Linked DNA regions of Rattus norvegicus. The protein of the gene in region 1 binds, or shares a complex with, the protein of each later gene. Links are inferred from orthologs where the notes say so. Each region holds a gene or a part of one and is shown on either strand. Other genes may lie near its edges.

The links.
Region 2: Nod2 (region 1) and Pkn1 share a complex: the UniProt entries of both Homo sapiens proteins name them as parts of the signaling complex. The link is inferred for Rattus norvegicus from reciprocal best matches to the Homo sapiens genes NOD2 and PKN1.

The regions. Positions count from the first base shown.
Region 1 is NC_086037.1:34,592,831-34,597,940, reverse strand, and holds the start of Nod2 (nucleotide-binding oligomerization domain-containing protein 2), read left to right. Parts: upstream 1-1,698; 5' UTR 1,699-1,744; intron 1,745-5,110. UniProt on the Homo sapiens protein: Pattern recognition receptor (PRR) that detects bacterial peptidoglycan fragments and other danger signals and plays an important role in gastrointestinal immunity.
Region 2 is NC_086037.1:41,359,867-41,364,500, reverse strand, and holds part of Pkn1 (serine/threonine-protein kinase N1), read right to left. Parts: exon of another isoform or gene 4,499-4,634; coding exon 4,285-4,498; exon of another isoform or gene 4,142-4,284; intron 4,092-4,141; exon of another isoform or gene 4,057-4,091; intron 3,839-4,056; exon of another isoform or gene 3,746-3,838; intron 3,245-3,745; coding exon 3,050-3,244; intron 567-3,049; coding exon 457-566; intron 372-456; coding exon 228-371; intron 1-227. UniProt on the Homo sapiens protein: PKC-related serine/threonine-protein kinase involved in various processes such as regulation of the intermediate filaments of the actin cytoskeleton, cell migration, tumor cell invasion and transcription regulation.

The DNA of each region.
Region 1 (5,110 bases):
CATCCACGTACATAATAGCCACAGACAATAAATACATGTAAACAATTTAAAATGGAAAACTGTCGGGCTTCAAACAGTTTCAAAGGCAACAAGCAGCTAAGGTATCTATTTAACATGTCAAAGTGGATTTGGTCTCCAGGTTCTCCCAGCATCCTTCAGTTCCCGCCCATTACAGGGTATGGCTGGAATACCCATCCTCTACCCTGAACTCTCCAGCCCAGGGGGTGGGTTTCCCCTTCCCCAGAGGCTCTTCCCCATATAATCCAGACATTTTGTGCGCTCTCTCTCTCTCTCTCTCTCTCTCTCTCTCTCTCTCTCTCTCCATTTTTCTCTCCCTGCCTATGCATTCTCTTTCCTCTTATCTCTCTGCCCCCACCCCACCCCATTCCCTCCTGGTCGGTGTGGCAATTTCCCTGGCCCCATCGGTATCAGTGAACCTGCTCGAGAGCTGCCCCCAAATAAACCTTCCCTACTTTTAGTTTGACTTGCATTGGGTTATTTCATCCATAGAGAAAATCTATTAAAAACAAACACCCTGTAGACAGCACTGAACACCAACAGGACCGTTCCCTAGGCAGGACCTTACCTTCTAAATGCAGCCGCTGCCACCTCAGCTGACTCAGGGACACAGGTACGTAACTGGAAGCGGTGCGAGGCAGTGGTTAATGCACAGCCTTTGGTACCTGAGGTCTGGAGCACACCCTGATGATGCTTTCACTTCGTGGATAGGCTAATGAGCCTTCCTGGGCTTCATTTTCTTCATCCCTAAATCAGGGACAAGAGTAGTACTCTGCAGGTGGGGTTGAGGGAGTTACCGCGATCAGACTTAAGTGTAAGTGTCAGGTTCAAAAGAAACTGCCCGGACAAAAGGCTAAAGGAAGTATCTATTAGCATACTAAAGCCCCGAAGAGCATGCTGGCCTCCAGGCTCCCTCAATCAATATCTGTAGCTCTCCACTGATCTTCCCACCTTACTCCCTGACACTAAACTTCTCCAGCTCCTGGGCTTCCCTCCCCCAGCTTCTCCTTCCCATAGAACCCGGCCTGTTTGACCATGCTCTGCTCCTCTCTCTCTCTCTCTCTCTCTCTCTCTCTCTCTCTCTCTCTCTCTCAAATGAGACTTCGTGCTCAAGACTTTTAGAAGTAACATTAAGAATGGGAAGTTATAAAATCAAGAGACTGTAATGGAAACTAAACAACTCTCTCGAGCAGCTCTAATTAGGATGTGTCAGAGCCCAGCCTAGGAGGCTACTTAGTAGGCAAATGCTGTTACACTTTGACCTCCCTCCTCAGCTTGCATGGGACTGACAACCAAGGGGAAAAGAGGAACTTTAAATGCCCTAACACCACCCAGCATAGCCTTCTGGGAATGTCTCCATTAAAACTGTAGCTGACTAAGGGCTTACAGATCCCAGGGAGGGTGCGTCGGTTCCTACTGACACCGAGGGCTTTCCTAGCTTGTTCCCAGGACTCTATGGTTCCCTTCGGATTGAAACGGGTCCCCAAGGGCAGGACATAAAGCACAGCAGGCAGGCCTCTTATTCCCGGATACCTGTCTCACTGGTACCTAGAGGGAAATCAGGAGGGGTGTGGCCGCCCTTCCCAGCCTGCCAGAGTGGGCGGGGTCACTGGGTGGGTGGGGCGATGGGCGGGGCGATGGGCGGGGCGAGATCATTGAGGGAGTTCTAATGCCTCCCTGGAGTCACTACCGGGCTGTCTGAGGAACCTCTGCGCAGCAGCTGGCGGTGAGTGCCTGCTTTCTGATTCTGTGGTCTGCGGGTGATCAGGGTGGGTGGATGTGTGGAAAGGACGGTTTTCTGGGGGAAGTTTGAGGACTCCCGGAGGACAGCGCTTATTGCTGTGGAGGTGACGACCGTCACAAGTCCCATCCTCAGGACTCTTGTTAATTGGTTCTGGAACTGGCATGTCTGAGCTTCTGGAAGGGACTCTGTTTCTCCTGGAAGCGTTGACAGAGTAGATAGGCTGTAAAAGGAAAGGGTGTCTTGAGGGGAGTCTTGGCCAGCTTTGGTAACAGAGAAAGAAGAGGGTATAGGAAGCACATTGAAGCCCCCAGGATCCTTTGAAGTCTGAGGGGAGGCTTTGATTTGTGGATGGCTGGGACATTGGAGGGAAACTTGCAGGTGAGGTCCTTACCCAGAGGGAGAAAAGCCTGCTTTGGGTCTTAGCAGGAACTATTCCTGGTTCAGTTGCCCCCCTCCACCCCCTTCTCTGTAGGCCTCAGTTTCTCTTTTAGCCTTCAGAAATACTCTCTAACCCCAGCTGCTGCTTCATAATCCTTGCCCCAGCCTCCTGCTTACCGTTACTCATTTGTGAGTGTGGGAGTTGGGATCAAACCCTATTCCTGCCCGGACAGACCCACACCTCCGTGCCCAATGCCAGCTAAGCGCTCAGCCTTTTGCTTGGCTCTCTTTCAAGCCTTTGGTGCTGTCTTTGGACAAGCCAGCTCCCAAGCCTCTGGATAGGTCTGAGCTGGCTGAAGCTCTGACTTCTGTGTCTTTTTTAGAACCTGCAAGGTCCTGGCCTGGGATGGGGGCATTGGCTTTCTGGGATCTCACCCAGGGTTGTTATCCTGGAGGGGAAAAGCCCCATCCCCATCTCTGTGCTCTTGGTGAAGAAGACCAAAGAGTCAGCTTCATTGGCTCTGTCTTAGTCTGTTGTGAGGTCACTGGAGCTCCTGGTTTCTTGGCCACTTGATGCCAGTTGGCCTCTACATGCAGCTCCAAGCTGGCACTGGCTCCATCTTGCCCCCTCTCTCCCACCCAGGTCAGCATTGCAGAGTGGCCCAGTGAACAGGAACTTATTGTTAACAAAGTGGCTTCTATACCTGTTTGGCCAAAGTGTGTGCCTTGCAATCTCTGCTCGCTGGTTCCACAGCTACCTCCCCACACTGGGTGGAATAAACCCACCCTCAACTCATGCAGACCCCATCTGTGCCCTGGGTGATACACAGGGTTATGGTGACTACATCCCGCTAACACCTGCCATCTCAGATGACAGGAAATACTGTGGGGAGAAGAAGCTGGGACAGGGCTTGGGGACTAGGGTTTTGCATAGCAGAGGAAGGCACCTCTGAGACAGTCACTACTGAACAAAATCTTAAGGAGGTGATAGGCAAGTCATGTGACTATCTTGGGGGATAGAGAAAGCTGTGTGTGTGTGTGTGTGTGTGTGTGTGTGTGTGTGTGTGTGTGTGTGAAAAGCAGGAGCATGACAGACCAGAGCAGGCTTCCTTGTTCTGAGAGTAAGGAGCAGGCCAGGAGCTACGGCAGGGTGGAAATGGGGTGGGGGAGTGGGGGGTGGTTAGGAGGAAAGAGGTGGCAGCTGAAATCTCTTGTATTGGGCTTGAGGTCACTCTATAAAAGCTGTTGGCTTTCACTTTGACCATGTGGGAGCTGTGAACAGCTCCTGCTCTGACTTAGGGTCTGGCGGGGTTCATCTAGTTGTGAGGCAGAGATGGAGATTCATGGCAGATGAGGGAACTATGAGGGTGCTGTAGAGCTTACATCATGGTATATGGCTTTTAGACTTGGAGTCTGTTGAAGGTTGGGTGTATAGTCTGTGATACTGGAGAGAGGCAGAGTCAAGCCTGACTGAGCGTTTGGGGCCGCCGTCGTCTGGGAGGGGTGCTGTTAGGAAGGAGATCCAGTGATTGATTTTGTATTTGTCTTTTGGAGATGCTGGTACGCACCACTCGATGCTGAATAGCTCCCAGTAACATTTCAGTCATTGTTATCACACAGTTGGGAATTGGGCCTGTGGGCAGAGAAGCGTCAGTAATTCAGTTCTTGGTGGTGGTGGTGGTGGTGGGGGATGGGGGACAGGACTAGGAACCACTTGGAGACAGAGTGGCTAGAAGGAAGGAGAGTGGGAAGTGGGGTGGAGTATCAGAGAAATCCTTCATGACTTTTGGAGCAGTGCTCCAGGGAGGAGGGTGAGCAGCAGTGCTCCAGGGAGGAGGGTGAGCAGCAGTGTTCCAGGGAGGAGGGGGAGCATCAGTGCTCTAGGGAGGAGGGAGAGCATCAGTGCTCCAGGGAGGAGGGTGAGCATCAGTGCTCCAGGGAGGAGGGTGAGCAGCAGTGCTCCAGGGAGGAGGGGGAGCAGCAGTGCTCCAGAGAGGAGGGAGAGCATCAGTGCTCCAGGGAGGAGGGTGAGCAGCAGTGCTCCAGGGAGGAGGGTGAGCAGAGTGCTCCAGGGAGGAGGGGGAGCAGGGTGAAAGAATGCCCTTGATGACAGAAAGGAAGGTGGGGAACAGAACAACTGGAAATCATGGAGGGGGAAGGAGTTGGAGTGTGGACTTGGGAATGGCAGTTCAGGTCCGGACAAGGGAGAATGGAAAGGAAGGATAGATTAGTCTGTTGGTGCTCTGATGGGAACTGGTTCCCTGAGAAGCAATTCAGAGTTGGAGCAGGAGAGTGGGGTTAGTTAGTGCCCCAGAGAAAGCTTAGCCAGCCAGGGCTGGGACAGTTCAGGGTCACATTTCCCTCTCCCCTGGATGCTTCCCTTCTGCTCCAGTCTGCAGTAGGCCCGTGGCACTGCAAACTAAGTCCTCAACTAGGGACTTCATGAAAACCAGGCTACCTATGATCCTGGACAGGAAGGAAGTGCTAAGAAGGAAAGGTGGGCTTGGGGACTAGGAACCTTTGAAGATACCTTTGGCCCTTTATTTCAGAAAGGAGGTGACCCCTTTGTTTGGGTTGCATCTTGCAGAGCCTAAGAGTGACCCCAAGGTGGCAGTGACCTGGTAGAGAAGACAAGGGTGACAAAGCAATGTGTTTAGCCTGGGGAGAGCAAGTCTGACCAGGTAGGACAAGGACAGGTTTCTGGGACTAACGAATGGAGAACTTCCTGGCTGCTCTGGAGGACAGTACCAAGACCAGACCTTCTTTTCCAGCTGTTTGGGATGAGATAGGGGCTTGGCCTTCTAAGAGGCAGGGGACTGGCAGAATTGATCTTTGGGGATATGTCGTGCCTTGTGTCTGCAGACACTGGCAAGATGGGAATTTCCAACTGCAGTAGAAGACAGAGTACCAAACCACATACATGGCCTTCCTGCCTCACCCCACCTGTATCCACATGGCTGATGTCATTGT
Region 2 (4,634 bases), about 6.8 Mb from region 1:
ACAACTGACAGGCACAGCCTTCTGGGAGCACTGTCACGTATGTGGTCTGTCACTGCTGGTTCTTCCTCCTGTGTGATGTGTGGCTCCTGGCACCAATCCCAGCTTTCATGAAACTTACTTCCCATTAAGGCTCAGAAGCATCTGAAATTAATCTCCCCCATACTAGACAATCAGAGGCAAGGAGGCAGGAAACATCTTAGGGTCAGAAGTCAGAAACCAGGCCATACCTCAGCCACCAGGCAGCCCTGGGGTTCCATGTCCAGCTGCACCTCATGCCTCTCATTGTCCAAGAAGTCTTCCAACTTCAGAAATTTGAGAGCACACAGACCCCTCTGGTCACGCCAGAACACAGCCAACTCCAGCTCCCGAGCCTTGAGGAAAAACGGTCATCACTTCCTGTGTCTGATGCCTCAACTCCCCTTCTTCTACTGCCCGGTGCCCCCATGCACAGCTCACCCTCTCCAGCTCCAGGGTGAAGCTCTGGTCCCAGGCATTGGGGCCGCATGGCTTCCAGGCTGTTTGCCCCACCACAGTGTTGTCCAGCTTGAGCACGGTGCTGACCTCAGCTGAAACCAGGAGAGGGCAGCAGGAAAGAGGGAGGGGAGGGCTTGCTCCTAATCCTGTCAGAGGCCCTCCTGGACGCTCTGCTAACTTGCCTTTCACACTAAAGCCTTTAATTCGACTGTGGGTTTAGGGAAGGAGGTTGCTTGTTTGTGTGTTGTTGTTTTTTTGTTTTTTTGTTTTTTTTTTTTTTGGGTTTTGAGATACAATCTTACTCTAAAGACCAAGCTAGCCTAGAACTTACTACTTAACCCAGATTGGCTTTGAATCCTCCTACCTTAGCCTCCTGGGTATTAGGGTTATAGGCATGCACCACAGGTCAGCCCTCATTTTTGTTTTGTTTTTGAGATGATGTTTCATGTATCCCAAGCTGGCCCTTAACTTGTGATCTTCCTGCTTCTACCTTCTAAATTCTGGGAGGCTTGTAGGACCACACAAGATATGAGTTTGGTTTGTTTTTGAGACAGTCTTGTGTAACTCAGGCTGGCCCTGGACACTATGTATTGTGAACTTCTGATTGTCCTGTCTCGACTTCCAAGCCTGCTGGTAGTACAGACGTGTGCTACCCTATTTGGTTTATCCAGGGCTGGGAATCAAACTAAGGGTCTTACGCATGCTAGGCAAATCCCACCTAACCTCTGTGGGCTTGTGTAAGTGCAAATCCATGGAGTTCTGCATTCTTTTTTTTTTTTTTTTAAGATTTATTCATTTATTATATATAAGTACATTGTAACTGTCTTCAGATACACCAGAAGAGGGCGTCAGATCTCTTTACAGATGGTTGTGAGCCACCATGTGGTTGCTGGGAATTGAACTCAGGACCTCTGGAAGAGTAGTCGGGTGCTCTTAACCACTGAGCCATCTCTCCAGCCTGGAGTTCTGCATTCTTACTACCAGTCACCCCCTGCACTCGGGACGGCTTCTGAGCTTTAATTCCAGAGGATGAGGACACCCTTCCCTATTGAACACTCTCTAGCCTCTAGCATCTGCCATTCGTTCTACTTCCTGTCTCGGTGCATCTGTGGCTCTGGGACATGCTATGAGCGGAATCAGGCCATCTTTGTCTTCTTACAACTGGCTTCTTTTGCTTCCTGCGCCATCCTCAGTGTCTCTCTGTGCTACGGTGTGGTTCATGCTATCCTTGCTTCTAAGACTGAATCCTAGCCCACTGTGTGCCTGTCCACCTGTGGCCTGGCTTCTCCCTTCTTGTTGTTGTGAATAATGCCTCAAGCTGGGCATCTAACAACTCAGGCCCTGCTCAGTTCTCTGAGGGTGTAGAAGCTGAACTGCTAGAGCATGTACTGCTAATTTCACCTTTACTTTTGTTGGGTTTAGATGAAAGGAACCAAGACCTCAAGTATAGCAGGCAAGTAGTCTACCTTTAATCAGTGGCTCCAGTGCCTCAGGGGAGGCTCTCGGCAGGTGCTCTCTCACTGAGTCCCGCCCCACCTTCCCACTGGGGAGGGGGCTCTAGGCAGGAGTTCTATCCCAGCCACACTCTGGCTACTCACCGGGGCATTCTAGGCAGCTCCACTGCTGACCTGTGTCCCCAGCATCCCCAGCATGTTTGACTCCCCAAGATGGCTTTCGCTTTGCATTCCCACACCCAACACAGGTTCCGATTTCTCTACGTCTTCTCTACATTTGTGGGGTTTTATTTTGTTCTGTTTGTCTTGTCATCATTTGGTAAGTCATCCCAATGGATGTCACATACTTTTTTATTTAATGTATTCATTTTAATTTTTATTTACTTTTACTTTTATGTGTACGTGTGTTTTGCATGCATGTATGTATATGCACTAGGTATGTACCTGGTACCTGAAGAGGTCAGAAGGTGACAGAGCCTCTAGAACTGGAGTCATGGATGGTTGTGAGCTGCCATGTGGGTGCTGGGAACTAACCCGAGGTCCTCTGCAAGAGTAGCCAGTGCTCTCAACTGCTGAGCCTTCTCTCTGGTACCTAATGTTTATTTTTTAATTATGTGTGTGAGAGAAAGTATGGAAGTCTGTTCACATGGATGTAGTAAGCAAAAAAATCAGAAGAGAATCAGATCCTCTGAAACTGTGGTGACGGCAGCTAAAGGACACCTGATGTGGGTCGGGGTCCTCTGCAAACTCAGTACACACTCCTTCCCCTCGAGTCCCTGTCTAGTGCCCTATACTGTGTAACTAGTACAGAGCCATGGCAGCCATGGCACAGCCAACTCAGTTGGCTGAACCACGAATCTCTTGAGCCCAGAGCTGGATGGCAGCCTGGGTGACAGTGAAACCCTGGCTTTACATAAGTAAGCAAATAGACAAACCAATAAAAAAAAACGCCACAGGGATTGGAGATTTAGCTCAGTGGTAGAGTGCTTGCCTAGCAAGCACAAGGCCCTGGGTTCGGTCCCCAGCTCCGAAAAAAAGAAAAAAGAAAAAAAAAAAAAACCGCCACAAACGCGGCCACTTCACCCACCCGCACACCCACTCAGCCTCCCGTGACCACTCACTGGAATTCTCTGCCTCCCCCTTGAGGCTGCTCCGTCCACTAAGGCTTCCACTTCGGTTGTAAAGGCCCCGAGCTGGACGACTCAGGAAAGGAGTGCGGCTGTCGGGGGTCCCAGATGCCCCGACTGAGGGGGGAGGGCTCCAAGGGATGGTCTCGGGAAGGTTTTTGCAGCCCACCACTCGTACTTCCAGGGTCCCTGCAGGAAGGGCAGACGCATGGGAAGCAGGCAGAGGAGAGAGCACAACAGGGAAGGGACCTCGCCTTGAACAAGTGGCAGTCGAGAAAGAACGGTCAGCCAGGGAGGCAGGGGTCTAAGGAGGTGACACTCAGGGCAGCCAAGGGGAGACAGCAGGACTAGGCTGAGATGTGATGATTTGCCATGGACTGCTGACAGGGCGGAGGAGGAGGGTGAGGACAATAGTCTAATGTCAGAACAGAGCAAGAAGATGGGGTTGCTTGGCCGGCAGAGATGAAAGTGGGGACCAGGATTAAAGGGAAGGAGGTGATGAGGGGAGGAGGTGGTGAGGGGAGGAGGTGGTGAGGGGAGGAGGTGATGAGGGGAAGGAGGTGATGAGGGGAGGAGGTGATGAGGGGAGGAAGTGATGAGGGGAGGAGGTGATGAGGGGAGGAGGTGGTGAGGGGAGGAGGTGGTGAGGGGAGGAGGTGGTGAGGGGAGGAGGTGATGAGGGGAGGAGGTGATGAGGGGAGGAGGTGATGAGGGGAGGAGGTGATGAGGGGAGGAGGTGATGAGGGGAAGGAGGTGACAGAGAAGGAGGTGACAGAGAAGGAGGTGATGAGGGGAGGAGGTGATGAGGGGAAGGAGGTGACAGAGAAGGAGGTGACAGAGGAGGTGATGAGGGGAGGAGGTGATGAGGGGAAGGAGGTGACAGAGAAGGAGGTGATGAGGGGAGGAGGTGATGAGGGAAGGAGGTGATGAGGGGAGGAAGTGATGAGGGGAAGGAGGTGACAGAGAAGGAGGTGACAGAGAAGGAGGTGACAGAGAAGGAGGTGATGAGGGGAAGGAGGTGATGGTGGGGAAGGAGGTGACGAGGGAAGGAGGTGATAAGGGAAGGAGGTGATGGAGGGGAAGGAGGTGATGGAGGAGGTGATGGAGGGGAAGGAAGTGATGGAGGGGAAGGAGGTGATGGGGTCAGCACAGTCATGGCTGGGAGCCTGGAGATCCAGGCAAGTGGTCTCAGGGCCAGGTCCCGAGAGTGCAGTCAGTCAGAAGCCCACCTGTGAGTGGTGCAGGCTTGCTCAAGGTGCTGTAGTGAGTGGCAGGGAAGGGCCCAGGCAGTATTGCACTGAAGGCTGCCGATGAGGCCGCAGTGAGCTCCTCCCGAAGCAGGCGTCCCTTGGGGTGATCAGCAGGCAGTTCCCCCAAGCGCCTCTCCAGTGACTCCCGCAGCAAGCCCAGCTTCTGGTTGGACTCAGTCAATTTCTCCTGAGCCTGAGGTAGGAAGGCAGAGAGCTGAGAACAGGCATAGGCCCTTCCCCAAGAACCCACCCACTTCTAGCAACTTCTTCCTCAAGGTTAAACCTCAAACCTACTTAGACCCATCAGGTGGAACCTTGAAAACTAGGCT